3 linked regions of the Tamandua tetradactyla genome follow. The protein of the gene in region 1 interacts with the protein of each later gene in a biochemical or structural test. Links are inferred from orthologs where the notes say so. Each region holds a gene or a part of one and is shown in the gene's direction. Other genes may lie near its edges.

Region 1 (10,134 bases):
TGATATCTGCTGCTTACTTTTCAATTACTCAGCAAAAAAGGAAAAAAGAAAAAAACACATGTGCACAAATGGTATACTTTTAATCCAATTTGATTCCTTTGGGGCCTGAAAAAATTCACATCCCTTTCTGCCTTGTTTCCCATCTGCATCTCCATTGGGGGAGAATGTAGTTCTCCTTAAATTCTCAAAATCTATCTCTTCCATGATGTTTTGTCCAACTCTCTTAGTACAGAAATGATTTCCCTTTTGCAGGATCTCATAAAACCCTGTTGGCCTTTCTACTAGCACATAGGCCAATATGCCTTGTGACAGAGACAAGCCTCATGGCCCCTTTGAGATCCCGTCAATGCTCTAGCCTTCTTAAAGATAGGGACTTCTAGTACCTATATTTAACTCCCCTAGACAACTAACAGTCCCTAGCAGAGCTTAAGAAATGTTGGCGAACTTGAACTTGAAAAAACCACAATCCACAACAGTTTCTGAAAATGAATACCTGTTCATGGACTATACCCACACGTAAACGGACACTATTCCAGACAAACATCAGTTACCAATTTTACCCTGAAACATATCAATATCATCACCCACAAAAGCAGCGTCTTCAGAAATAAAAGACAATGGTGGAAACTATTATGCCCATGGAAAAAGAGGGTGATTTTCACTTTGTTTCTACAGGATATAATAAATATCTTAGAGATATAAATTTGCTGCCAAGGAGTTTCAATATAAAGACATTTAGATCTGCTAGGAAACAGTTACTGTAGTTCCTTGAGAAGAAGCATGGCATCAGAAAAACAGTGTTTCAGAAATACTATTCTGGAAAATAAAGATTAAACAAATTAAAATAGAAGAGTTTGGAGGCAGAAGTTTCTGCGAGAATTGTGGTACAGTAATACAAGGTGATGAGGGCCTGGTGAGGGTCTTCAAATGCAGAAATGGAGAGAGAAAGGCAATCTGAAACAAAAGATGTAAAATTTAAACTGTCACCTGAGGAATTTAGGTAATACACAAAGAAAACAGGAAGAAATCAAATACTGTAGCAACTGATTCTAGCATGTCATAAACGTGTAGTCTTTAACAGTATGAGATTTCTCTAACCTCACAGCAAATAAAACTGGGCCAAGGGTTGCCGAGCCTAGCACACATGCATGGGTCTGCTTACTACACTGGAGGGCAAATCTGTTATCTGTCTCACTCCAACTAGCCAGGAGCCGCTTAAGGGTAAGGGCCATTTTGCATACATCCATCTTTGTAATCCAGTCCCTTGTATAGTGTGAAGCACATCAATAGGCAAAAAAAAAAACAAAAAAAAACATAAAAATTATAGAACTTAACTGATCATAATTTATATAAGTAAAAAGGAAGGACTGAACTTGTGCATGAAATCCATAAGTGCACTCAGGGGCATTAGTTAATATGCACACATGTATGCATGTAGTTTTGGCTGTTTCAGTGTGTTTGTATCTACAGTATAAACCTTAAAAAGAGTTAAAAACAATTTTGAACATTCTACAGCACCTAGCACAGTACTGAACGTGCAGTGGATGCCTAGTTATAATTATTTTTAACTTTTTTAAAGTACAGATAATAATAGTTCAGTCTTGAACTCTCACCACTCTTATTTTGTGAGGCTAAAATCTCATGTAATGCTTAAATCTTAAGATAGCATCCAAGATTCTCAAAATCCTTTGGAACTTTTCCTGCTCATAAATACTTCTATCTAGAGAAAAGTACATAAAGAGGTGACAGCAATTGAACTCCCCTTCTAAAATTGACTAGAGAAAAGTAAAATTGTTTTCCTTAAATCTGATTTAAAAGGAAGAAGGATTAGATGTAGAATCATCTAGCCAGTTAAACTGTCTTTCTGATTAGTTGCTTTAACTTTAGGGAATACATTCAGTCATCAAGACCTCTGTTCAGACACTTAACATCAAATCTTGTGGATTCCTCTAAGATCAACTATTGACTAAGAAGCCATACTTGATACTACAAACTACGATCAATTGATCTAAACCAGGGGTCCATAAACTTTTTCTGTAAATGGTCAGTTAGGTAAATATTTTAGGCTTTCAGGCCACACCCTCTCTGTCATAACTACTCAGCTCTGCCATTACAGAGGAAACGTAGCCTTGGACAACACATAGACAAATGGGTATGGTTGTGTTTCAATTTAAGAAAAGAACAGCAGCAAAACAATGCATGCATTGGACCACATTCGGCCTGTGGGTTACAGTTTGCCAATCCTACTATTTTTACTGTTATTATGAAAATGTTCAAATATACAGAAAAATAGAACATTATATAACTATCACTTAGATTTTAAATTGCCATCATCTTGATATGTACTTCATCTATTTTATTGTCGAATTACTACAAAGAAAATTTCTGTCACTGAGGGATTTCGACCTTACATAACTTAGCATTCACTATGATTAAAAATAGATATATTACTAAGGGGAGTACAAGGGTGGTTCAGTGGTAGAATTCTCACCTGCCGTGCGGAAGACCTGGGTTCAATTCCCGGTCCTTGCACTCCCCGCCTCCCCCCAAAAAAAACAAATAAGCAAAATCAGCAAACAACATTTCAACAAATGATGCTGCAATAATGGATACTCACATGGAAAAATAATGAAATGTGAGCTAAATATATTACTATATCTATATCTAAACCTAAATTTAGTCTATATCTAAATTTCCCCAAATACCTCCCAAATTATTTCTGTAGCTGTTTTGTTCAAATCAATGAAGATGAGTCATTGCATTTGTTTGTTATATATTACAAGTCTTTAAAAAAAAAAAAAAGCAGTCCCGTCTCCCCAGACTTTTTATTTTCCTGCATATGTGGCATTGACTTACGGATGAATCATTTTTGATACTTTCCTTAATATGTTTGCCTTGATTTCTTCTCTGTGTTAAGGTTGATGTTTTTTCAATCTCTTCTAAGTGATATGTGGAGCTCATTAGGGTAATTTCGACATGTATATGAGACTAGAGGTTCATATATAACGTGAAATCATATGCCAAAGAGTTTCTCTGCAATAGACATGTCCATGCTGCGGGTGTCCTGTAAATGAGTTACTGTAATTGGGCTGAAGAAATCGTAGGTCAGTAGATTTATCAAATTTAGTTTAAGATGCTAATTTGTTTTTCAAGAAGGAATCTCAGTTTTCCAAGCTGTGAGCAAAAGCAGAAGCATAGACACTTGAATTGATGTTCTGGGGTTTGCAGTGTCTTAGGAGAGAGGAAAATCCTCCCCCCCAGAAGAATGCTGAGGTCTGGGTCAGCTTGCCAGGGAAATTCCAGAGCCGTAAAAATCACCCCAAATTTCATAAAATGTCCATGAAGTGAAAACCGTTGACATGTAGGGGGCAGGACACATACTAAACAACATTCAGAGTCAGCATAGGGTGCAGTGAGGTGGTCGGAAAAAGCGAACACAGGTGTGCGGCAATGTGCTGTGAGGTCATTACAGATGAGGGGCTGGAAGAATGAGTTGAGAAGTAGGAACATGGAAACAACAGAGGTTTGGGTCGCATGTTTTAAATTCTCTTACCTCAGTGGAATTAGGAAATAAGATCAGTAAGGAGTCAGGAGCAGGGCCTGGATGAACTGAGATAATAAAGGAAACGGAATCAAAAGGTGCTGATTGGAAGCTGGAGAAGAAATAGAGCTCCTTTCAGCTGAGAAGTTGAACAAGGGGTAGTGAGAGAAGAAAGGAAGGATGGTGGGGTGACTCATAAACTAACTCCCCCACCTGTGCTTAAATGCCACTAACTCCTGTGCACTGTCAGGACAGCCTTAGCTCTGCAAGCTACAGGTTTTGCCACACCTCCTCCCCATGAAAGCCGTGGGAGAGGTTAGGTTGCTGCCTCGGGAATGCTCTAGACGGCTGGGATTATTGGGGCCGGGCTTTGAGTTAGAGGTGGAGTCAGGGCTAGGCTTGGGGGGAAGGATCTTTCTATGGATGCAGAGGGCCTGTGCAGAGAATAAGATTGAAAAAACATTCACTTGCCACTTGCCACTGGGAAGCTACAAGCATTGAGCCTTACCTCTCTACTGCTTCACATATTTTCAGATACTACTAATATATTGCTCAGACTAAGTCACAGGTTGACACTTACATTCTGTCTTACTTGGCTAATGATACATTTGACCTGACCATTTCCTTTTATTTTATCCATTCACATCAACCGATTCCCATCACAAATATTATTAATCACTGCAAATAAAAGCAGGCAGTGTATCTCCTTCCCTCGAAGCTCCATGATGAATAGCATGACATTTCAAACCACTATTGAGTAACGCTCTTTGCCACACACCTGTTCTGAAATGGCAGCATTCCATAGAACCTCTGCCCTTCAGTGACAAACCTCCCCTCTGAGACATTCCTAATATCCCTTCAACCATAATCAATATATTATCAGATAGATCTCTTGCTTCAAACTCTGAAGACATCCAGTATCTACAGGGTCCCTGCGACTCACAATGTTCCTAGATATTGCCAAATGAAGAGAAGATAACTTGAGAAAACTTGCGAACACTGCCTCATGAGCAACACTTTATTTTTGCAAAGCTCAGGGCTGCATTCAGTTTCATTTGCATGTGTGGGCAGCCATTTCTCCAGCTTATTCCCCATGTTCTAATTGGCTCACCATGCAGATTCTTGGCTCTGTGCTTGGGCATCGTCACTGACTTTTAACCCACCTCACCTGAAGAGCAGCTTTCTGTGTTTCAATGATATTTCAGCCACTGAGCCTCATTTCAGAAACTATCAGCTGGATTTTCATTGGCGGTTTTGATTTTAATTTACTTTTAATCTAGCTTAGTGATAGTTTTAATTTGATCTCCCTGCATTTGAAAAGGGAGACTCTTAAGGAGAGGAAAATAATTGGGGAGAGAAACTATTCAGTTAGAAAACAATGCTTCCCATGTTTCAGGCTGGTCACTGAAAGAAAACTGTGACATATGCAGAAGACTTTGTAAGTATCATAGTCGTGTCTCGTTTGAATTAATACTAAAAAAAAAAAAGATATCGACTCTCAACATTAACACATTTTTTCCATCTTAAACAACTCAGAAAATAACTGAATCTTATCCTAATATCCGCTGAAATGGAAAATACATCATTTTCTACTTATGACCTGAGGGTGTAGCCGGGAGCACAGCCAGATCCTCTTTGAATAATCTAAGCATCTAGATCACACTTGCTCTTTTAATATAGGAAGAGGGAAAGCAACCTGTAAATAAACCACAGTATGAAAAGCCCCTATCCATTGTCCATCTCTTCACGCTGTTGATCATTTAAAATGCCTGTCCCTGAAAACCGTCAGATAAGGGGTGACTCTCTCCGATGCCCCACAGAGAGCAGCTGGGAGAAGGGTGTGTCCCTAAGCTTCTACCTGGGAGCAACGATCGTGTCAAGCATTTCAGTGAGACCAGCCCAAGTTTTTAGGGTGGGGATCCAGACAGGTTATACGTACCTTCAGTCCTTCTCCCAGAGGAAGGCAGAAACACCTCAAAGCCTGCATGTAAGAACATCTACCGAGAAATTATTTTAATCGAACACCAGCCGAGAAGGGGAAAGAAAAAGAACAGAGAAGAACAAACAAAACTCCCTCGGTTTTGGATGTAAGAAAGCCAGCAGCAATGGACTGGCACCCCGTCAGGACAGCTGCAGCGCTGCTCATTTTTCTGGTAAGAGAACTCTCAAAAATCCTTCACAATTATTCTCAGGGTAAACAGGTGGGAACTTTGCAGAAAATGTTACTTAATAGCATTTCTAAGCTAGCCCTATTAAAAGTTTATGTTAATGACTGGGTGACTTTATGAACTAGATTTTTAAACAGTGTTTCTCTCTTTAATTGAAGACCTGAGATCTTCTTAACGCACCAGCATCAACTGGGGACATCCATCTCTGAGACTGAAATCAGTGCTCGTCATATTGGGAAGTTATTGAATTTGGGAAATCCGTATTACTACTCAGTAACACTTTATTGTCCTAATTTCTCTTTTGCAATGGACCTTTAAACTAAATAACCCAGGAATGTCCTGATTTTTAACCTAAACATTCCATTCTTTTGATGGTTAAATCATTCCTCATAAATTTTAAAGCATTAAAAATAGGATCCATATAAATTAAAATCACAGCAGCTTCTGACTGCCCTGATTATCCAAACCATCCCACTACCTCCTATTGAGGTTATGAGCCATGCTGCTTTTATTTGGAGCCCTATGCTGAGAACCCATGATTTTATTTAAAAAGGCATTTTTAATTTCACCCAAAAAACAACAGTACAAGGATTCATAAATGACACAGTAAGTGAAGGAATGGCTATAATTAAGGAGTAAGAATAATTATTACCATACTTGTTCTTACTCCTGGAGTCAGTAATGACTGTGATATACAAGTTCTACATTTGATGGTGAGAAAAATGTAATGAAATGTTTTTTTTATCACTGCCTCCCTTGCCATGCCTTTGGTTTTCTCTTCTTAGAGATAATGCTAAATGCAGCACCAAAGTTATTGCATCAATTTCACTCATGGTGAAAATTTTAAAATAGTAATCTCAGTGTAGTTAAGGTAATCCACCAAGGCAGGTGCCAGCAAAATCACTCTCCACCTTGACAGGAGATATGTTGTGGTTCATATTTGTTTCTACTTGCTTTTTTGAACTGGAATGTTGGGTTTATACAACAACAAATTAGACTTTTTAACTTCAGTGTACAGGATGAATTTGAATTCTGTTTATGAATTAAAAGGAGTCAACAGTAGATTCAGGGGTAAATGAGCTTCAATCAGCTGGTAGCTTTAGGGCCAAGCTACCCCCCCCCCACACACAGAACTGTGGACTTTTTAATGGATCTCTAAGATAAGTTGATGTCATAGCTTGCTATGTGGCAGGGATCAATGCACATTATACAATATGCCATTTGAACATCTGAACATTTGTGTTTTGCCATATATGAAACACTTTTATCTTTAATGTCATATAAAATTGATCCCTCATGGCCTACTACAGATTCAGCCGATTAAATTTATTCAGATGCTTATACACTAATGGTAATAGAATCTATGAGAGATGTCTTATTTCTTGATTTATATGATTATTTCTAATTAATTACATCCTATAAATTTCCTTTTAAAAGCTCCTTCCTAATTTGTTACACTTCAATAAAAAGCATTGTTTTATCAAAATCAAATATCCCCATTGAACTTTCTCTCTTTGGAGAAAGGTTTATGGGATTTATACTTTGCTTTCTGAGTCTGGATAGTGTGATTTGAGGGGTGTTACTAAGCCATATTTTACCTAGAATCAAGCACACATTTCTCATACCCTTTATGAGAATTATTTCTCAAATAACTTACTCTATAATGAATTAAAATGCTTCATTTCATAGCAACAGCATAATTAAAAATTTTTTTTTCATTTTCTAAGATTTAGCAAATCATAATACATTTTTACTACTGATATACTAGATGGCCTGGGTAACTGCCTTTGGGAGTTATCTAACATGTGTTTTGCTTTAGAAAATAATTTTTCCCCAAAAGACAACCACCACTAAGTAAACTCTTTCAATTATCTTTTGCAATGAAAGCTTATTTTTACACACACACAAAAAGCATGTACAGTATATTGCTAAAGTATATATGATTCTCTGTTCAAAGTTGATAAATAAAAATCCATGTTAGGAAGCATATTTCCCCAATGGTGAAGAAGACCCTTAAGACTTTTAAACTAGTAGTATCTGTAAAGCAAATCCATTTGAGAGCTGGGCAGCTATTTGCTTACAAGCATATTGTACACATTGATCAAAATACCTGAAGGTTCTGGACCTTTGTTGAAATTAGTGGGCTGGAACAGGGAAAATAAAGCCAGAGGAGCTTCTCATAAAGCAGCAAAGATTGCTCCATGACTGTTCCATTATTCAGATAGTTCTCCTGGAAAGACAATAGTTTATACCTATTACAACACAGAAGGCTGAATAAATTTTATTGATTCATTTTTCTTTCTGTTCAGCTTCTGTAAAATCAGTACGTTCAGTGAGGGGGTGAGGAGAAGAGCAGGAATTAGAATACATTTTCTCTAGGCAAAAAGAAAATGTTACCTTATGAACCAAATATAAGAAATCTGTGTGGATGATTGTCACTATTGTAAAAGGTATGGCATGGTCCTTGTGGGAAAGAAAAATAGAATAAGAACTGCTGTGGTACTAGTGATTTCTGAATATTACTTGCAACTTTTCAAGTTTCAATTAGTCAATTTGAATCAATACAAATCTCAAAGTTTCATTCCCTATAAAAGCAAATTCTGCAGCTTAAGTTCAAAGAACAAAGAAAACTATTTCTAACAATTACCAAGAATAATCTGACTTCTTCAATTCATTGTAAATCGTCTGTCTTCCTGGGTATTTCCTCCAACCACCTGATAAGTTAACCCCACATTTTGAACTTAGCTACAATTCTTTAGTATATAAGCAAGAGGTTTTCAAAGTATTTCTGAGCACATAGGCTAAAACACAGAAACAAAATTTATTTTATTACATAGTCCATCCACTTATTTGACCCAAATATCCAAGCTCCCATAATTGCGTTCACTGATGCCTAAAGCATGAGAAAGAACAAACTAGTAGAGACCAAACAGAAGAGAAGCAAAAGAGGAAACTCTTTAACCACACTTTCGAACGCAAAATTTATACTTTCTTATGCACAGGCTGTAGTGACATATATTGTAGATGTGAACATTTCAGTAAAATATTTTCTGAAAAATAGAAGCAGTATACCTATTAAATGAAATTTATAAATTGGATTTAAGCATGAGCATTTCCATTTATATGGTGTTCTTCAAAGCTTTATTATTCCTGTGCAGATTTAGAATGAGCATCATCTTTCCTCTTTACTAAAAAAGGAATACAAATTTGTCACCACTGCAAATTTTCTATCACCACGAAGTCGTCGTGGAATCCTTCACATCTGTAGAAATCACTGCATTCATTTACGTAAGAAATATATAATGAAAGTCTTTTGGATTCACAAAGGGATGAAACCGTTATCAAACTCAAACCAAAAAGCATTTAAGCCAAGTATGACCCTGCCTCTGGTGTAAACTTTCTTGAGTGATCAAATACTAAATGAGACCTCAAAATCCTTCTTAGCACAGACCTTCAGGAAGTCACTGTCAGCTGGTTTGTGTCACCACAGAGTAGAAACATTTTGCCATCCCTGATTTAGGTAACAGAAAATAACTAAAGCACTGGGCAATGCTGATTTGATGACCCTTGTAGACCTAACCATTCAGGGACAAAATTCATTAATTTAATGAGGCTATGAATCTAGAAAAATGACATTCTCATCTATACCCAGAGAACTTAATTTCTGATGACTCTTTCTCCCCTATAAATTCTTCCGGGACATTGCTATTGAATTTCCTGTGTCCCAACAGGGCATTGACTGCTATTTACTGGGAAGCATGCTTAGCATTGCAGAGAGACTTATTATGCTCCTTTCAGCTGAGGACATGCCTTCACAGAGCGCTGGGTCATGCCACCCTTGTGGGATAGGCCTGGCATGCAAATTCCTGCAGTGCACTTAGGCAGGAGGATTTAATTTTTTTAATATGTCTGGTTACTGGTCCTTGTTCTCAAAGGCCTATGAGAATGGAGCACAGCATTTTACACTTGTCTGATAAGAAATCATCTCTTTACAAATTAATGGCTGCCCATTGCTCATGGCTGTGAGTCATTTAAGAGCAGGTTCTGTGTCTGATTCACCTTTGTCCCCCTCATAGTGCATTGTGTGCCGCTGCAAGATTGCTCAGTAGGCTTTCGCTCCCACAAGGCAGAGACACCAAAAGAAAATCTGGGGATATTTTATATTTCTCTGCCTGACATACTCCAAACAACCATTAAAGTACTAAACTAGGAAATAATAATGTTGGACTTCCTTAGCACTTATGTTCATGACTACTTTTATCTTACATTTCCTGCAGGGTCACCATAGCTATTTTTTTAGGGCTTGGGCCTAAACCCAGTCTGGATCTACATCCTACACATTCAGTAGTGCTTATAAAATAAATACACCAATGCCAATGGACATGCAAGAGAAATCAACCCATTAAGGCATTGTCAACCACAGGC
Region 2 (9,712 bases), on another chromosome or scaffold:
AACAGGTGGGGGAGAAATTCCTGCCATTGCCTCCCTCTGCGTGTATGTATGTGTGCGAAGCGGGGAGGGGTGGTGGCCGTGGGAAGAGCGCCTGTCAGGGCATGCATCTCTCCTGGCTTGTATGGGGAGGGAGGGGCAGGCCGGCTGGCAGGGTGGGTGGGGCCCCAGCTATGTCAGCCTGTGCATGGAGTCGCCCTAGCCAGGAGCAGGGAGGGGGGTGACTCAGGTAGCAGGTTCCCATCTCCCCTTCCCCCAAAACCACGCAGGAGGGGGAGGGGTTGCTCAGAGAGCCAGGGACACCCAGTGCGAGAATACAATTCCTATGCTTGGAACCAGCCTTGTTGGGCTCTTGAAGTGCTGCAGTTGCACTTGGGGGCTTCAGCGTGGTTAAGGGGGAGCGACCCAGACACAGGCATTCTCTGGAGAGGTCCTGCCCTCTCCCCCTACCACCACTGGCTGCTGGTATCTCACCCTGGCTGGGTTATTTCGGTGCCATCCTATCTCTGTTTTCCTGTCTCCCTGTTTTCTCTCTGACATTCCATCACGCCCACACTCCCTGCTGTAAAGTGTGACTGGACCTACGACTATAATTAAGAGTCCTTCCCTGGCCTGCTGAGCACACCCTGAGCAGCCTCTGGCCTCAAGGCTCCTCCCCTGGACAAAGGGCAGCAACAAATGGGCAGCCCCCCTGCCCTGCCCCACTCCAACTCTGGGGCCTTGCACCATCCTGCTCTGTTCAGGCCAAGCTTGGGTCCACACCAGCCAGAGACTTTGGGAGCCTGGAGGCCCCTCTCCCCCAAACCCTGAAAGTGAGAGGGTCACCCTGAGCAAGCCCACCCCCAACACCAGCAGGGGTCAGATTACAAACAGAGGTGCACACACTATAGGTCTAAATATTTAAGGTATAAATCCAGCCACCAGACTCTTAACTAAAATGTACCTTGATAAGTATAGTTCCACAATGACCTAAAAGGTCAAAATGGAATTTAGAATCCTCAAGCTTCTTAGAACATGGCAGCCCAGGGCCCCAGTCCCCTGGGGGGCCACCTCCCCTGGCTCTGCTTACACCAAGGGCCTCTAGCACATGCATGTAAATGCCCAATTCACATGGCCATGCTCTGCCCATCCCACCCCCACCCTCCACCGCCACCCCTATAACTGCCCCTGTCACTCCTCTGGCCTAAGGGTGCAGAGACCAGCTATGGTGCCCCAGAGTAAGAGGCCCACAGGCCTTGGAAGCAGGGTCAGTGCTGGGCAAGCAGTTGCGGAGTTCCGGGTACTCAGCGTGGTCTGGAAGGGGCGCGGTATGCGGTCGGTGCAGGCTCGTCGCGTTGGCCCCCCGTGGCGGAGGGCCACCACAGCGGGACCTTCCAAAGGGCAGGGTGCAGGACAGAGCCCTCCTCCCCAGGTCTAAGGTTTCTGCCCCTGGGCTGGGAGATGGCTGGGGGGCCCACACCGCTGGCTTTTTGTACTGCACCGGGAAGAACTCCTGGTCAGTCGTCTGTTCTCATTTTCTGCTGCTGCGATACCAGGGGTGGGGCTGCTCTGGGATGAATAGGTACCATTATCAGCCTGAAGTTCGGGCAACTCAATTCACCCCTGTGGCTCTCCCTTAGGCCACCTTAGGGTGAAGAGGAGGGAAGAATGGTGTGTGTCTCTGTGTTGGGAAGACAAAACTGACAGGGCTAGTGTTCGCGTATCTGAATCTGCACCAGTGAACACATCTCCCTGTGGTGTGAGTGTGGAAGGCTGTGCATTTGTGTGCGGGTGTGTGGATCTAAGTCTCTGCCTGCCCTCTATCTGGGAGAAGGGTCCCGGAGAGAAAGGGCTGTGTTTGAATAGACAATAGAAACTCTCCCACCTCCTTATATGGCCCAGTGGCCTCCTGAAGGAGGAGGGGAAGTGAGATAAGCTGCTAAACTGGGAGGGTGGAGGGCCGGCCTGGCTGGCCTGGCCGCCCTGACACTGACTGTTTTGGACAACTTCCCCAAGTGAAATGCCCTCCCCCACCACTAGCTCTCCTCCCTCCCAGCAGCCCCTCATCCATTGGGCCCCTCTTTGCCAGTCACTGTTGTCTCTGGGGCACCTTGGATCAGGCCACCTTGGGGCCCTTTTATACTTTATTCAGAGACCCCGGAGAGCTGCAAGTCCGAGTTAACCATATAGGTTCTGGGAGACCCAGGGTCTCTGCTTTCACTGAGTTCTGGGTGAGAGAAGTGAGTTTAAACTGCAAGGATGTGAACTGAGAATAGACATTAGAAAGAATAAGAGGGCAAGGACTTTTTGCTATAAGGGAGGCTAAGGAATCTCCTTTCCTGGAAATTTGTCAAGAAGGGACATCCCTGCCTTTAAAGGCTTTGGAGCAGGGGACTGGAGAAGATGACTGAAGGGACTTTCCTTCAACATCAGGCTCCATGGGAGCCCGGGGCCACAGTGACCCCCGTCCCTACAGCTAGGCTCTCATCTTCAATCTTCCCCACCTCTCTACCCCATCCCCACACAATCAAGTCTCCTATAGAGAGTTGATTAGAGTCAAAGCCTTTTTTTTTTTTTTTGGTTCTTTTCTTTGTCCTTACCGTCTGGCAAGTATATAGTAGGCACTTAATAAATGTGCAGAAAATCCCCTGATCTGGAAATGGGGACAGCTTTTATTTGTCTTTCTGATGCTGCTGCGTTGCCTCTACCCAGTCCCAACCTGTGCACTTAGATTTGGGAGTGGCGTGCTGCTGCATGTTACAGGGTGAGAGACTCAGGGAGCATTGCTGGGGAGACACACACACACACACACACACACACACACACACACACACACACACACACGCTATCCTAAAGCCTTATTTCTGCCCTCCACCCCAGGCAGACTCCTCCACCCTTCTGCAGCCAGCCAGCTCTGCCTGGTTTATATGCTGAAGTCAGGAGAAAGAGGAGGGTTAAGCAAGGCTTGGGGAAGTGTGTGTGGGCTTGGTGGGTACCCGCCTGCAGGACAGCAGAGATGAGGGGCAGGTGGAGTAGGGAGGCAGGGGAGGGGAATGTGGCAGGTGGAAGGGGGAGGAAGTGAAACCCTGGCAGTCGTGGAGGCAGCCTAGGATTCTAAGCACTGTCCTCTCAGTGTGCGGGCTGGCCACTGCCCTGTGTGGCAGCTTGGCAAGTCAGTGGGTGGGGTGGGGGGGTGGGGAGGTGGGGATAAAGATGCTGAGATAAGCCGGAAGGGAATGTGGTGGGAAGCAAGGCAAAGAGCAGTGGCCCTGGCATGTGAAATGGCAACAGATCCTGGAATATTAAATGTCTCCCTGGTCCCCTCCAGTAAGACTTCTTGGAGGGCATGAGTTTTAGAAGGGAGAATGTTCAGCTGCCATTCTTTTCTCTGGTGGGGTACCTTCACCCAGCCCTATCTGTGTGCTAGCTTCTGGGGTATAAAGCTTTTTTTAGAGGGGGACCCTTTCCTGAGTAACCACTTCCCACTCCTACCTCCCACCCATTGGTTGGGTTAGATGACCTATTTATTCTTATCCCTCTGTGAGCTATCAGAGGGTTGGAATCATGTTGATTTTCTGTGTCATCAGGGTCTAACCCAGAGCCTACATGCAGTGAGGGCTCAATACCTATGTGATGAATGAATGAATTTCTCAGTCGAATCCTCGACACACTGTACAGCCACCAGCAAACATTCATTTCATTTCAGTAAGGATTCATCCACCACAAAAAGGAAATATTCTTGTCTTTTTTTAACATGTCATTAGGGAAGTTCTTTCTGATATCTAACCTGGGTTCTTCCACTACTGAAGGGCCTGCTGCCCCCCTTTTATTTTATGACAGTACTTGATTCCCTGTAGATCTGCTGCATGACTTCTTCCAAGCTCACCAAAATCTGTTTACATCAGAACTTTGTCTATTTTTGTTCCAAATTATTGCTCCTCCGTCTCTCAAGTGCTTCTTTTTTGCCTCTTCCCCAACCCTTACCTACTACGTTGACATTTTATGCTTATACTGTCATTCCACCAAGAGAATCTGTGGCTTGGTGCTCCTTGGAATTAGAAGAAAGGGCTTCTGGCTTAGGATGTGCCACTTTCTAGTTCTGTGACCTCTCTGAACCTCAGTATCCTCATCTGTGAAATAAAACATAGTTCTGCTGCCCTAACAATTTTTTAGAATTGTATTGAGAATTAAAAAAACATATAGTTAAAGTCTAACATTTAGTTCTCCAAGTGCTATCACAAATCTTACTTCTTTTAACTTCCACATACTCCAGTGAGATGGATATAATTAATGTACCCATCTTAGACATCATATAGCTAATAAGTGGCAGAATCCAAATCCAGGCCTTCTAATTCTAAATCCCATGAGCATGGCATCTTTTGTTGGGGAAAAATCCCAACCCATCAAAAAACTCTCAGAAATGCGATACAAATATTTTATTACTACTTTGGAACAAGGGTGAATAAGCCCAAAGAAGCATCATGCTTGACGCTGAGTTGGCTGGTAGCTGAGTTGGCTGGCCGCTGAAGGCGTCTGTCCTTTCCCAGGGCGCTCCCTGACTCACCTGTTGGACAGGTAGGGGGGAGAGTAAATGAGTCTTACCTGCTCAGAGCTAGGGTGGGGCAAGATACACCCCATTTCTCCCATTGGTCTTTCCTGAGTCTTACTGACAACCCCTTGCCCAATCAGGAGGAAGTAACCTTTTATTAGCCAGTAGGTGCGGAGTTAGGATGGGACCTGAAGTTAAGAGTCAGTCCCCAGAGCCGACTGGCAGTCCCTGGGGCCAATGGCGAGCGGATAAACAGAGGCGGCCGTGGTAGAAAACTGGGCGCGAGGCTCCGCCCCTCGCTGGGACTGTCAGGCGCGGCAGCCAGTTAACTCGCTTCAGCGGGTGGGCGTTTCCCTGGGGGGCGGAGCTTCAAGGGGGCGAAAGGCGTGTCTTGGCTGTCAGGTCCCTTCGCCTTTTGTTCGGTTACTGAGTTGCTGCCTTGGCCAGAGTCCGGAGCAGCCGCCGCCCGAGCGCGCCGAGTTCAGTTAGCTTCCCGCGCCGGCCCCGATCCCGGCCCGTCCCCGACCCTGCCCGGCCAGGTTTCATACGCAGGTGCGGACGATCGGGGGCAGGTATCACTGGGGAGAGAGAAACGGCGGCTAGGGACAGGGAGGCCGCTCCCAGCCTACTCAGGGCAGGTGAGGGAGGGCGGTAGGGGGGCGCCACCCTGCACCAGCGGCAGGGGGCGCGCTGGGACCTGGGCGCGGCGACTAAAGGGGCGCGAGGTTTGGTCCGAACGCGACTGGGACTCTAGGAGAGGGAGATGTGAGAAGGGCTGGGAGGGATCAGGGCAGGTGCCTCCCGGGTCGCGCTCTCGTCGGGGGCCGCAGAGCTTTCCCGACGCCGGGTCCCTGCCTCTCTCTCCGCGCCTTCCGAGCAGGCTTTGGCCAGCTGTGCCTGGGTCCCAGGTCGCACTCACTCTACAGTGGGAAATTTACTGTTTGGGAAACTTGCTGTCGCTGGTCTCTTTGGGGCCACCCTCACCCCACCCCACGCGTCATCCTCGCTTTCCCTCCCTCCTTCCTCCCCCAGGCCTGGGTGGGGCCCTATTGTCTGCGCCCGGCTTGCCCAACTCTGGGGGCCGAACACACATTTTCTCAGCGACGCGGTCCCCACCTGCCGAGCAGGTGAGCGCAAGGAGGCCAGAGGCCCTGCCCTCCCACTCCCGGAGCCCGGTCGGTACTGTACCTGGGGCACCTCCCTCCGTTCCGTGGGCGCTGGGCTACGGCTTCCCAGGGGAGACGAGATGGGGTGACCGTGGGGCTGTGCAGGGTCGGGTCTGCGCCAGCTGATGTTTGCACCCGCGGCTCGGCTCTGTCTGGGTGGAGGGGGTCTGTGTTTGGGAATCTGAGCAGAGAGGTCACCTGGCCCAGTTTCCAGTAGCTGTGACTTCCAGAATGTTAATATGGAAACAGGACTACCCTTCTTCTCTAACATCTTATTATTGGAAAAATCACTCAAAGCAAACTTTCTAGGAAGAAGTATTCATTGCTGCTTTCTCTGGGGGTTTTCCTGTCTCCTTGCCCAGAACTACCCCAGGCTTCTGGGGTCCTTCTTGCAGAGGGCAGAGCCCCTCCCCCAGCTGGCCCCAGGCTGGACCAGGGCCAGCCCTGTGCTTAGACCCTGTCCTCCCCAGCCCAGCCTCCATCCTGTTTGCTGGGCCCCAGGGGCCTGAGGTGGGGCCTGGGGTGGGGGCTGTGGGCCAAAAGGGGAAGCAGCTTCTTCCTTCTCTTCCTGCCTCCTGGGACCACCACACCCCCTCGGAGGAGGCTTTCCTTCCCGAGCTCTGGGCACCCCCATCCCAGGAATGGGGGGTGGGGCAGGTCTGGGCCAGACTGGGAACGGGGATGGGCTGTTCTTGTCTTTTTCTTTCTCCACCCATCCCTCATGCTCTTTAGTTGCCTGGTAATTGAGGCAGAAGAGCATGGAGCAATGGGTCTTGATTTCTACTTGATTTCTGAAGTATAAAGGTACATTCCTTCTGGAAGCTTTTGCAGCCCTTTTACCACCCACCCCACCTTCCTGCGAGATTTTGATGGCGAAAGTGGGACAGGAGGAATGCTTTTGGAGGGAAGTTTGTTCGACACTAGGCTCTCTGGAGCAGAGTCCCCTCCGAACCTCTTCCCCCTATTTCCTGAGGAACGTCTCCCAACTCCTGCACCCAAGCTGGATATTTCAACCAGGCTTTCCACGCTGCCTTCTAAAAACCCGAGGTGTGGCTTTTTTACAAGTCCAGCAGTCCAGTCCTTGGGGGTGGGGTGGGGATATGTAAGACCCATCTTTCCCTCAGTCCTAGGATCGAAGTGGGGATTAGAGGGGAGAATCCCAGCTGCTTACCCAGGCCCGCTTGGGAAGATGCCACCGCCTTGTTCCAGGCTGTGGATGGAGAGTTGGAGGAGGGGGTCTCAAACCAGTAACTCAGCCCCACCTCTTCCCCCAGGGCTCATTCCTGTGCAGTAGTCCGGGCTGGGGAAGGGACTGGTAGGGAACTACACCTCTTGGGAGCCACAGGGGCCTGGAGTTTGGGCAAAAATATCCTGTTTTCGCTTCTCCTCGCAGTGCATTGGTGGAGGAGGGGAAGGCATTGTAATTACATTGGCCGGATGATTCGTTTAGGTAATCTGGTTTGGGGCCTTGATGAAAAGATAATACTCAGGACTATTGCTAGGAGGTGCTTGTGAAAGCTGGCTATTTGCTGGAGGGGAGGAGGAGGATATTAGAGGAGGGAGAAGGAAAGAAAAGGTAGGATTGGATTAGTCATTTCTTGCTGGATCAAGCCCCAGCTTGGGTGATAGGAACCCTTTCCACTTGCCCCCGCCCCCCACCCCACCCCCAGCTCCACCTTCTAGCACCCTGCTTGGGCCGCCAGGACTGAGATTTTGAGAATGCTGTGAGTAGGAATCTAGGAGGTCAGGCTGGGGCTGGGCTCTCGCTGCAGGCCCCTGGAGGGAGCACAGACGAGGGGAGGGGCTCTGCCGGCCCGGGAGCTCTTGGAAAAGGAGACAGCCACGCACTGGCCTGCTGAGGGGTGGTTACTGGAAAAGGCATTTCAGTGGGGTAAAATTCTCAGCACAGGGATTTGGACTTTGCCTGAGCTAGGCTTGAATCTCGGCTCTGTCACTCATTACTTATGTGACCGTAGTCAAGTCGTTTCCCTTCTCTGAGTGTCAGTGACCTCTTTGACAAAATGAGGAACAATAGTACCTATCTGCCCAGGGAGTACTTGATAAACAGTAACTTTTAAAATTTAAAAATAAGGGAGGATTTTACAGCTACCAAGCACTTTCATTAACAGCCCTCACTTCATCCTTTCAACAATCCTTAGAGGCAGGAGATATCATTATCCCTATTCTACAGATGAAGAAACAGAAACTCAGGGAAGTTAAGTAACTTGCCTAAGGTTGCACAGCAAGCCCCTGAGCAGGGCTGGGACTGGCATTTGGGTTTTTGGGCTACCTACAAGCCCAGAGCTCATCCTCCCCTAACTCCCTGCTGCAGCTCAGAATTTTCCTGTTGCCACCCCCACCCCCATGTGATTTTTCACATGGGCTGGTACTGGGAATTGAACCTGGGTCTCCGGCATGGCAGGTGAGAATACAGCCACTTTGAGCCACTGTTGCACTGCCCCTTATCCCCCTTTTAAAGCAGTTTTATCGAGATAAATTGACATACCATACAATCCATGTAAAGTGTACAATCACTGTCTTCTAGGATGTTCACGGAACTGTGCATACATCACCACAATCAATTCTAGAACATTTTCACCCTGACGAGGGTTCACTGTATTACACAGTCCCTTGCTGCCCCTTTTTGAGGGTCTCTGTCTGGGAGATAGGGGAGAAGGACCCAAAAGGTATATGTGTGTAGTGGAGGTGGAAGAAGGCATGTTGGGTGGAAGTGACTCATCCCTAAGCCTCAAGCCCTCCGAGACCTCCCCTGTAGCTTGGTTTTTAGTTCCCAGTGGATGGGGGCTACCTCCCCAGGGCTGGGGGCCGGGAGGGTGGGGGGTCTTGGCAGGAGTCAAAGCTGCTGCCGCCTCCTGCTTCCAGCTGGGAAGAATCTGGGTTGTTCTGGGCTTGTCCCTATATAGGGAGTGGGAGTTGTCTGCTTTTCTGGGGACAGGGCCTGCGCCAAAAATATAGGGTGGCCTGCTCCCTAGGGCATGGAGAGAAACAAGGGTCAGATTTAGCCCTGGGCTAATGTCCTGCTGGATGGTACCCCTTGGGGCTGACAGGCTGCTCTTTGGTGCAGAGCTGGCTGTCCTCTGCTTTGGAGGCTGGGAAACCGGGGAGGTGAGGAGGGGGCCCAGGAGTAGTTTTTCAGCTGCTAGGAGGGCCTTTCTGGTGATTGAGGTGGGGACCAGCCTTGGTTCTTGAGGAAGGAGCTGGCATCAGACCATCCTCTTAGACCTGCCTGTGCCTGGCACCTCTGCCAAATTGGCACCTGACACCAGAATGGCCCTTGGAATTGGGGTCTGGAAAACCTTATATGTGGAAGGGCAGCCTGGCGCTTGAACCTGTCGTCCCTGGGATTCTGGATTCCTTGAGGTCAGGAGGTGACCCCAGGCCTGGGGAATCTTGACCTTGGGGGAGAGAAGATGGAGGGCCAGTGACAGAGAGGGAAAGAAAAGGAACTGAGCCGTGGCTGATTGCTGTAGAGGAGGTGATGGGCTTGCAGTTTTCCACCCCCGTTGAGGACATAGGTGAGATTAGGACCGATTCTCTTATAGGAGGAGTGGAGGTTAGATAGGAGGAAGAACTTCCTGTCTGTCAGAGATGGGATCTTGAGTTGAAGAAGGCTAATAGGGAGAGAAGAGGCTCAGGGTTGGCTCTCTTTGGAGAGGATGAAAGAAGGCCCCATCCGGGTGAGCTGGAGGGAGGCCTGTCCTGCCCAGGAAGGAGGGCAATCGGGAACCACTACTCCGTGGGGCGAGTCTGGTCCCAGGATAAAGCTCTTAGCCTTGCGTCTTTTGGGAGGGGAGAGCCATGGCAAGAGAGGGGCAGGCATCTGTGACCAGGCTGGCCCAGTGAGCCCTGCAAAGAGAAAGGGCTCTGTAGCTAGAGCAGGTCACCGGGTTTGTGTCCCTGCAAGTGACACTGTGAGGCCTCTTCCTGGGTCATGGGAGAATCTGGTGGCAATCTGGGCAGCAGGGACTGCCCCATTTTCCAGCAATCCCCTTGGCCAGGC
Region 3 (10,115 bases), on another chromosome or scaffold:
GTGCGGGCTGCTGGCTGCATGTGCATTTCTGAGGTGGCCCTGCCAGCAGGAAGTGAGGGCAAAGTTTAAGCAAGAAACTGGATTTTAGAAAGGTATTAGCCAAGCCCAAATTACTCAAGAGGCTTGGAAAAGGCCTGAAGGGGGTTCTGGAGCAAGAGGGTGGCTGCAGTTCAACAAAATAAACACTCCTGAGCACCGAATGTGTACGTGTAATACAGACAGCGAGGAAAACAAAAAGAAATAGCACACGTCCTTTCCCTCGGGCTGCTCGAGGTCATGTAAACACCCAAAAACAATCAAGTATGATGAGGACTGTAACAAAGGCAGGTGCCAATCATGAAGGGTCCCAGGAGAAAGTATTTACTTTAGTTTGGGGATTCCTAAGCAAGGATCGAGAAGTTGCAGGAAGAGAGGGTGCATCTGTTTCCTAAGGCAGCTGTAACACATCAGCATGAACTTGGTGACTTAAAAACCACAGAAAGTACTGCCTCACAATTGTGGAGGCCAAAGGTCCAAAATTAAAGTGTCAGCAGGGGTGTTTCCTCCTGCAGGCTCAGAGGAGAGACTGTTCCGCACCTCTCTCCTAATTCTGCTGGTCGCCCCACGCCTCCTCCTAGGAGCTCCAGGGCTTGGAGACACGCCCTCCATCTCCACTGCGGCTGTCCCCTGGCCTCCTCCAGGCTCTCCTGTCTCTTCACAAAGTGTTCTCCCGCTGTGCGTCTGGGTCTGTGTCCAGATTTCCTTCCTCTTATAAACCGACATCTCTTGGACTTAGGGCCCATCTAAATCCAGGATGACCTCAATTTACCTTGATTAGCTCTGCAAAGACCCTACTTCCAAATAAGGTCATATTCAGAGCTTCCGGGTAGATGTGCATTTTGAAGGGACGCTGTCCTGCTCAGCACCGAGGGGGCAGGAGGGGCTGGTCACCGCCTTGTTGATGTCCTCTCAGTGACTTCTCACTGCTCTCAGTATAAAGTTCAGACCCCAGTGAGAGCCCAGAAGGATGTGCCTGGTCCTGCGCTGTCCAGTGTGGCGGTCACTGAGCACCTGAAATGTGGCGTGTGTGTCTGAGCAACTGAATTTTTTATTTCATTTCATTTTAGATGACTTAAATAGCCAGGAGAGATACAGGATATCTCCATCATCACAGAGCTGACTGACTGCCTGTGAGCCCTGTCTTGTGCCCACGCCCCTCTTGTACTGTCACACTGGCCTGTCCCTTCCAGGGACACACGAGGCTCCCACGCCCTTGCTCCTGCTCCTGAGATGGGCTCAGGACCGACCTCCTGCTCCAGGCCTCGGCCCACTGTCTGTTCCTCATCACCACGACTGACGCCACCCACTTCTGTTCTCTCTGTTGGCCTCCCATTTGGTCCTTTCCCTGCACTGAATACAATTCATAATCACTTTTTTCATTCATGTGCAAGCTTACTCTTTGTCTGCCCCACTAGAATGTAAGCCCTGCGAGAGCAGGATCCCAGGCTGCCTTTTTTCATCATTGTCTCCCCAGGGCCTGGAACAGTGTCTAGCCCGTCAGGGCACTCAGAATGTATTCAGGTGACTAGGTGAGGGTGCTCTAGTCGAGGGAGTAGCACAGGAGTAGCACTCCTTGGTGACTAGCCGGGGGAGTAGCACAGATGCAAAGGCAGAGAGGCAGGCATCCGCATGGGGTGAGTGGCTGAGGGGTGGAAGGGAGAGAAAACGATAAGGGAGAAAATGCAGAAGTTATTTAGAGATTGGGGAGGGGGCAGAGTGGTTCACAGAGAAAGTTGTAGGGTTCTTGAAATAGGTAGCCATTGAGGAATCCACTTGTCTGGCCAAAGGAACTTGCTAGAAAAGGCTCGACAATGGGGAACTGGCCCCATGGCAGCTGTCAGAGCAGTTTGAACATGGGTCAGTTGCAGGGGAACAAGGCAGAATAAGGTGGGCCCATCCTGGCAGGTCTAGGGGTCCAGAATGGAAGCTACCTCTTTCCCTGTCCCCAGCTCCCAAGGGTGTGTGGTCTGTGGAAATTTGGGGCACAGGTGAAGGTGGTCACCTCTTCTGGGGAGCTGGGAACTGAGTAAGGAAAAATTTTGGTCCTGTCATTTTGGAGGCAGCAGAAGCCCCAGAGACCTCTTCTCAGCCTTCACCCAGGCTGGTCTTCCCAACTGGCCCAGCCCCCCACCTCTTCCCCATCTCCAGAAGATGAGCTCTGTAAGGGCGGAGCTTTTGTCTTCTTCACCATCACATCCTCCAGTGTATAGGAGGGTCTGTCATATACTAGATGCTCAATAAATACTTGCTGAATAAATGAATCGCTGTTCCATTCTTTTAGTCACTGAGAACTAAACACTGAGAACTCAGAACACACAGGTCATGGTATGTTTTAACTTTCAGGAAGACTAGAAGCCTTGATGATGGAGAGTGAAATCTGGGTCACGCATAATGCTCTAGGGCAGGCAGCAAACAGAATTTGAACCTCATTCATATTCATTCATTCCAATGTCTTTGAAGATGAAAATTTACTCATCTTGCTTCAGAATCCAGTCTAAATTAGCTTCTTTCAGGAAGCTTTCCTCGAACTACCCCCACAACCTCCAAATTCAAATCAACCCACACCCATTAGAATTTTTTCACCATCTGAATATATGTTCTGTCACCTGGGGGCATCCCATTTGAGAGATCAGTTCGTGTGACAGTGCCTAGTGACATCTATTCTCACTTCAGGAGTATTACCCTCTTCTCTGGCCTGTTTCTGAAGCCCCACAGAAGGTGGGATCCAGCAGGCAGAAGAGGGAGAGGCCAAGGAAATAGCTCCGGCCTGCTGGCTTAAAACCATGGACCTGAGCCCCCAAATAAATCTTCCAGCCTGAATATACCTTGCACACCTTGGCCAGAAACGTGTGACTTGACCACCCTTTCCTTTCCTTCTCCAGGCCAGAAGTCAGAGATTTGTTTGAACCCAGACTTCCCCACTGACTTAACCTCATGCCAAACGGGGAAAAATAATAACTCCTCGAGGGGGTATTGGAAGAACTGACTGAACTAATATATGCAGAGAGTACCTGATGCTGGGGCACAGAGGGGATTCGGTGGTGATAGCACTTCCTCTGTCACCTCCAGTCTTTTCCTTCCCCTTGAGGACAAGGGGGAGACACAGAAAATATTGTCCAGAGGACTCCATTCAAGAGTCTCCTGCATTGCAAGTCCCCACAATTGACATGAGAATTATAGAGTGTTAGGGCTCGAGTGGATCTTAGGAACCAACGACGCTGCGCCTTCACTTACAGATTTAGGGCCAGGGGTGGGGGTGGGGGAGGGACTGATCTAGGATCAAGAAGTTTGTTTGCGATACAACTAAAACTGAAACCCTCCTGGTCTGACTTTCATGCCCTGTGAAGGAAAGAGATGGATGTTGGTGAAAGATTCGTCTGTGAAACAGTTTCTGAGCCACTGCTTTCCATGGGGGAATGCACAGGCGGCTGCTTGCACTTGCACTGAGTGCCCAGGCTTCCTGCCCAGGCCTGGCTTGGCCACGTACCAGCTGGGATTCCTCATCTGAATAAAAGAGATGATAGTGTTGGTTCCCACCTCACAGGTCCTCGTGGGGATTTGAATAAATGGTCCCCATAAAGGGCCCATACCTAGCTCTTCCTAAGAGCCCTGTCAGTGTTGACTATTGCTATCAATATTTCAAAATAGTATCAATAGCAAAATGATAGGGAAACAGATAGAATAACTGAACCTGGAAACAACTTTTAAAATAATCAGTTTTAGCTTCCTGGGACTCACCTTTTATAGGACTATGGGCAACTCCAAATCACCTCCTTCAGGGCTCTTCTACATCCTGGAAGGTAGCAAAATTATCATTATTTAAAGACTTAATTAACACTTATTATAGCTAGCATATTAGTTCTTAGATAGGCCAAATGTGTGATACAACAGTATTGTATTTTTATATGTTGTTATGTGTACTTTATAGTACATTGGGGCCCTTTTATAGTTGGTGTACATTGTACTGTAATGCCCATTTTATAGGATGTTTATAAGGGAGGCCAGTGGCAGAGTGAGCACTGGATTGGGAGTCACCAGAACTGGTTAGAATGGAGGCTTTGCCATGACTTAGCTTGGTGACCGCAGGCACAACCTCCTCTTCTCATCAGTAAAATGTGGAGGCTGGGATGGATAATTTCCAAGACTGCATTGAGCACTGACATTCTATGGCTGGAAGCAGAATCTTAAAATTTTCAGCGATGACAGAGTTTTACAGGTGTTGAGCCTCTGCGTTTGTGACATACTGATGGTCACATCTCTAGCTTGTTTGATGCTGACTTCTTGGGAACAAAAGTCTCAATTAGAGGGCTAAATAGAAAGAAAAAACTTTCTATTAGGAACTATAATCTGCCTTACAGTAATCCGCTCTACCAGGAATGCACTGTGGGGGAAAGCTGGGGCTCTCTGCATAGGACCCCCACTTCTCAGGGTGGAATTCTCATGGATCCTCAAGTCGTCTTGACCCTTCCTCCACACACAATTCCTAACTAATGCAGATTCCTGATTTTTCCTTCCTCTGCAGATTAGAAGAGCAAACTAGAAGTGGGATAGATCAGCTGTGAGTGGTCACTACAAATGATAAAAGTGACAGCTGACAATATAATACCGCTGGAGAAGACGTGCAAACTAAAAGACTGACAAGACTGGACCACTACCCAGTTCAGTAATGGAAGTCCAGAAGCAGAAACCCCTGTCACCAAGAAGTGTGTAAAATGTGATCTTATCTTTTGCTTAAAGAGGCAAGGTGGAATATGATACCTTTTAGAAAGATTTCCATCAAAGTAGTTTTAAAAATGTCCAGCTCTTGTTTCATACCAAATTCACAGGTAAAGGCTATCTTGGTGCCTGAAAAGGATGCTACAGGAATGCAATATCATTGCATATGTGCATCCAGGGGTATGTACGGGCAAAAGAGAATATATATAGGGGTCCTACAGTAATATGCCTGCAGTGGGGATGTTTTATAGGCAAGATGCACTTCTAGTAAGGATCTGGGTTGGAGTCAAACTAGGCCTAATTCACTTTAAATTAAATAGCATTTATTCATTCAACCATTCAAATGTATTTTTTAAACTGAGCACCTAGTATGTGCCAAGCACCATTCTAGGCGCTAAGAATGGAGTTCCTTGACCACAGCCTTCAAGGTGTAATACCAGGCATATCCATGCATGACAGGTATACCCTTTTTGTACCTCAAGTCCTTGACAAGGGCTTCGTGTCCCACCGCACTCCCTTCAGAGTGGTAAACTGCCTTAGAATGGAGGCTTCTGAGACTGAGCACTCCACGGTCAGTCTGGGAGCCCCCATCCACAGGGCTGGTCTCTGCCGTGACCTCAGCCAGACGCGGATGGGCACCTGCTTTCCCATCTGGTCAAGAGATCCTCCTTTTTCCTCGAGAGAAGATCTCTCTCAGCCCTGAGCACACACTTCCTCCCTGAGCGAGCAGGACAGAGGGGCGTCTCCCCGGGAGCCTCGCCACCTACACGTCGTGAGGAGGGGGAAGGGAGAGCAAGGAAGAGAGAGAGGGAAGATACCGACTGTCCCAGACGCAGATAGGCAGCCCAGCCCGTCTCCTCCCCCTCCCCCTCCCCCTCCCCCGAGAGTGCTGGCTTCCGCAGCAGCGGTGCCCTGTAGCTCGGCGACTGAGCAGAGGCAGCGCGCCGCCGAGCCGAGTGGGTGGTGCAGGGCAGGGGTGGTATATCCAGTCTGACGGAAGGCGAGCCGAGCCAGTGCCAGGAGAGGACGAGCCAGGGTGCAAGCGCCGGGAGCAGCTGGCGGGAGCCCTCACGCGGACCACTTACTCTATGGCCATTGGGAGCCGCTGAGCGCGAGAAGAGTACCGTCCCGCCCGCCGCGCCGCACCTCCCCGCGCCTCTCTGCTCTTCCAGGCCCCGCGTCCGCGCGTGCTTCCCGCCACCATGAACCACTCGCCGCTCAAGACCGCCTTGGCGTACGAATGCTTCCAGGACCAGGACAACTCGACGCTGGCTTTGCCGTCGGACCAAAAGATGAAGACAGGCACGTCGGGCCGGCAGCGCGTGCAGGAGCAGGTGATGATGACTGTCAAGCGACAGAAATCCAAGGCTTCCCAGTCGTCCACCCTGAGCCACTCCAACCGAGGTAAAGGATTGGCGCCCGCGTGGTCCGTGCGCCCCCGCCCCGGGCGGGAGCCGAGGTGCGCCGGGGAAGGGAGGGGGACGCCCGCGCCAGACCGGGTCTGAGCGGAGTCTGAGCTCCCCGCCGGTTCCCACGAGGCTCCCGCCCGGGACCCGCTCGCCCGCTCCGGGAGCTCGGCGGTGCGCGGGTGAGCGCGGAAAGTGGCTCGCTGCCCCGAGGCTGAGGGTCTCCCGCCGGTATGTTCTTCGGACCCGCAGCTCGGGAGCGCGGACCTGGATGTCCTTTTCTTTCCGAGAGCTGCTAGGGGGAGGGGAGGAGACCAGCCCCGCAACCCAGCGGTCGCCGAGGGTGTTACGCCCTCCTCCGTCCCCTTCCCGGGCTTTGCGTTCCACCGCGCCTTCAGTCGGGCAGGGTCCCAATCCTGTGGGACCGCGCGGCGTGGCGAGGAGTGGTCGATGAGCCCAGGTGCGGGCCCGGGAGAGGCGTTGCGGAAGGCGGAGGCGGCGGGAGCTGGGCCTAGCCACCTGAGCTCCCAGGCACATCAGCGGGAGCCTCCCGCGGAAGGAGAGAAGTCTGGTTCTAGGGTCGCTCAGGAGCGAGCAAGCCCCTTGACCACAGGAACAGGGATAGAGAATCCCTTCCTTCCCGTCGCTAACGCAGGAAACCTCCTTTCCCACTGGATTCTCCTTCCACCACACAGCTTGAGTAGTAACAATCATCTTAGGGGAAAGAAAGGGAATAAGACAAGCATGGGATAAGGCAGAGTAAGTCAGGGTTGGGGATTCCATCAGATTCAGGAAGGACCCTACCTGAGCCCTCACCGGCGCTTTTCCAATCAGGGTGCTTGGCCTGAGTTTTCTTCCCTTGGACTGCAGACTGTGTGGATGCCAAAATCCCCAGACTGGGGGTGACTGGGAGAAATAGAACCCCCAAACTAGAAGAAGTAAGAACTTCACAGAGACATTGTGGAGAACTTTTAGCACATATACTTTAATACAAAGAATTCCCAGTAAGAATTACATAAAAACTAGTATGTAATTTTTACTTATTTATAGTTTTATAATTATTACTATTGTATTTTTGATTTTGATAAATTTAGTAAAATGTTAATGAAGACTCTGCAGATTGCAAAGTAGGACAGGTCAACCAAGATTTGTTTTGTCGAGCAAGTCCCTTATGAGAGAGTTAGTGATAGCAAGGGTAGTAAGGAGGAAAGAGACAGGTCCTTGTTTATTTTGCAGATCAAGGGGCACTGGTCAAGCCAACCTCCTCTCTTCCCTGAACAATACTTACCTGTTCCCTTTCCGCTCCCACCTCCTCCTTGGCCTGAGCTCCAGGCTCACAGCTCTGGAAAAATCTCAAACTGGCCCCAGGTGCCTCAAGCACGCCTCCTTCTTCCCACCTGTTGGGGTGCTGGCTGAGCCTCTATTGTCACGAGTGCTCTCTTTCTGGCCTGTGTTTGTGGGTAACGTCTCCTTTGTTCTCTCTCTGCTTCAACACCCTAAGTTCTGGCATGGGGCTCCAGCCAGATGAGGGTTGACCCCAATGGCTAAGGGATACCTTTCCAGAAATGGGGCTCTCCAAGGAAAGACCACGTAGGCACATTCCCCTCTACCCTCAGCTTCAGGGGAGATTCCCAGCCCTGCCCTAGCTGGGCAAGGCAGTTCGGCCACTTGGAGCTGGTGTTTCTGGTTTATCTGGCTTTGTTTTCATCAGATTTCCCATCTTCTCCATCAGAGGTGCCCAGCGTTCCCTGCTTGGCTCTGTGGCTGCCTTTATCCACTCTGCTCCTTCTTCTCTTGGGCCTCCTATGGCTCCTGGGAAGGAAAAGTTAAACAGAGAAGGACCATACCCCAGGCCACTCCCCTCCTTCCCCTGGACAGGCTCCGATTCTCCTTTAGTCTCCAAGAGCAAAGAGTTGTTTCCTCTGGAGTCTTTGACCCATTTGGGCCCCCTGGATCCCATCTGGGGCCCCCTAGTTAAAACTCTGCCCTAAAGAAGACCATTCACATCCCACACATTTTCTGCTAGTGTCTGCCTCTCCTGTGCCCCGTGTAGGGCAGTTGGGAATAGACCACTATGGCCCTGGCAAGAGGACCATCTTTTCCTCAGTGCCCTCTCTACTAGGGTTCTTTTCTGTTTTATCAGGGAGGGGGAATTGAGTCCAGGGCTGGAAGAAGGAGCCCCATGAAAGGAGCCTGGCACCAAATGCCTGACTTCATCCATGTCCTCCTTGAAATGCAAAACACGAGACAGTCACCTCGCCCTGATCAAGCAGTCCTGGGGCAGGGGGCTCTTCTCTGTGGCCTGTAGGTATGATCTTCTCCTGAACTGGCCCCTAGGTATTGCTCCCCCATCTTCTGAGAGTCCCTGTGCACATGAGGTATCTGAGAGGTAGTTTTCTTCCCCGCTGAAGCAAGAGGAAAATTAGGGAGACATGGCTTCTCAGCAAAATATCTTTGGGGGGAAAAATTGACTTCACTGAGTGTGCAAAATTCCCTCCAGGAGTTGATAATGAGCCTCCCTGTGTTGGGTAAAGGGCTGGTGCCTTGCTTATCCAGCCTTAAAGGAAATACCTTTCTATATTCAGGATCTTTATCACTTCAGGTGAAACTTATTTCTAAAGTTTAATACAAATCTCCTTTGAGTCAACCCCCCATAACCCCTGCTACCACTGTGAACACACATCACATGGAAAGTTTGCTTAAATAAGCTTCCTTTATCATATTCCTCATTCCGGGGAAATCCAGACATTACCAGTGCCATTTGCCTAGTTTGTTGGCAACTCTCTTTGTAGACATCTGTGAAGTTCTTAGAAGTACCATTTTCCATCTAAAATTGCTATGCTTGTATTTCTCTCTAGACAGAGATAGGTGTAGGGGGTCAACGTTGGGCCAGGGGAGGTGCCTGGGTCCCCTCATGTCATGCCTGCATCCTTTCCGTCCTCCACACTACTCCGACCACTCCTGTGGGACAGGCTGGTGCTAGCTCTGCAATGCACGCGGGAAAAGCATCCTGCCTTAGAAGCTCCATCCCTCTTTTGGCTTTTTTGTATTTGTGTCTGGCTGTCTCTCAGCACGAACCTCTGCCTGAGCACGGCATCTGTCGTTATCCTCTCTTGAATGTTGTCCTTTCCTGACTACAGTGAGCAAACATCCGTTCTTGGTTTGTTTTCTCTGGACCAAAGCTATGATGGGAGATGGTAAAGCTTTAGCTTTGTTCCAGCAGTGAAACATGCTAATTAAACTTTAAATGAACCAGTTCCTATTTCTTTGCAATGTATCTTGGCTTGAAGTTGGGATATTAGCCAAAATTTCCATCAGCCTGTTACAACAAATGCAAAAATTCCAGGGTGTTTCACAGCAAGTGCTGTTTCCTTATATCCTACTCCTGTGCTAAACTCATTGGCAGATATTTTTTAAACTACCAATTCCTCTCCTCACATGCCAAATTAATTATAAATACCAATAAGCCAGTTTTTCTCGGCTTGAAGAACTCTAGGAGGTACTTCTGTGATGGGTGCGGCCACTTAGAAGGTGTGTGATGTTTGAACAAAATTAAATGGAAAAACATTAGACATCCTGGAATGAAGTTCTTCACACGTACCTCACACACATGTGTGCATGCACACTTGTGCCTACACACCTGAACACACATATGCACACATACACGCATTGCCTGGCAGCCTGTGCTGTGGCAGGAGCTCAGCTCGGTCAGGAGACTTGAGTTCTAGGCTGGGTTTTCCACTGGCAGGCTTGCGATCTTGGGCAAGTCACTGCCTTTCTCTGGATCTTTGCAACTCTAAGAGGTTGGATTAGATCATCTCTAAAGTGCTTTGCAACATTAAAACAGTCTTTGAAAGTGGATTATACAGTTCCCTGCTTCTACGGACCATTCACCCAAACTGTACAGCACATCCCAGAAAAAGGCTTCTCCCTGCTAAGGCCTTTTATTCTGTA

The links.
Region 2: the proteins of DSG1 (region 1) and JUP form a complex in vitro, tested with the Homo sapiens proteins (2 studies listed by BioGRID and IntAct). The link is inferred for Tamandua tetradactyla from reciprocal best matches to the Homo sapiens genes DSG1 and JUP.
Region 3: the proteins of DSG1 (region 1) and PKP1 form a complex in vitro, tested with the Homo sapiens proteins (2 studies listed by BioGRID and IntAct). The link is inferred for Tamandua tetradactyla from reciprocal best matches to the Homo sapiens genes DSG1 and PKP1.

What each region holds. Positions count from the first base shown.
Region 1 is NC_135344.1:51,945,867-51,956,000, reverse strand, and holds the start of DSG1 (desmoglein-1), read left to right. Parts: upstream 1-5,406; 5' UTR 5,407-5,646; coding exon 5,647-5,694; intron 5,695-10,134. UniProt on the Homo sapiens protein: Component of intercellular desmosome junctions. Involved in the interaction of plaque proteins and intermediate filaments mediating cell-cell adhesion.
Region 2 is NC_135332.1:25,401,210-25,410,921, forward strand, and holds the start of JUP (junction plakoglobin), read left to right. Parts: upstream 1-4,917; 5' UTR 4,918-5,097; exon of another isoform or gene 5,098-5,103; intron 5,104-5,542; exon of another isoform or gene 5,543-5,704; intron 5,705-5,713; exon of another isoform or gene 5,714-5,843; intron 5,844-8,197; exon of another isoform or gene 8,198-8,257; intron 8,258-9,712. UniProt on the Homo sapiens protein: Common junctional plaque protein. The membrane-associated plaques are architectural elements in an important strategic position to influence the arrangement and function of both the cytoskeleton and the cells within the tissue.
Region 3 is NC_135330.1:58,340,929-58,351,043, forward strand, and holds the start of PKP1 (plakophilin-1), read left to right. Parts: upstream 1-5,680; 5' UTR 5,681-5,957; coding exon 5,958-6,159; intron 6,160-10,115. UniProt on the Homo sapiens protein: A component of desmosome cell-cell junctions which are required for positive regulation of cellular adhesion.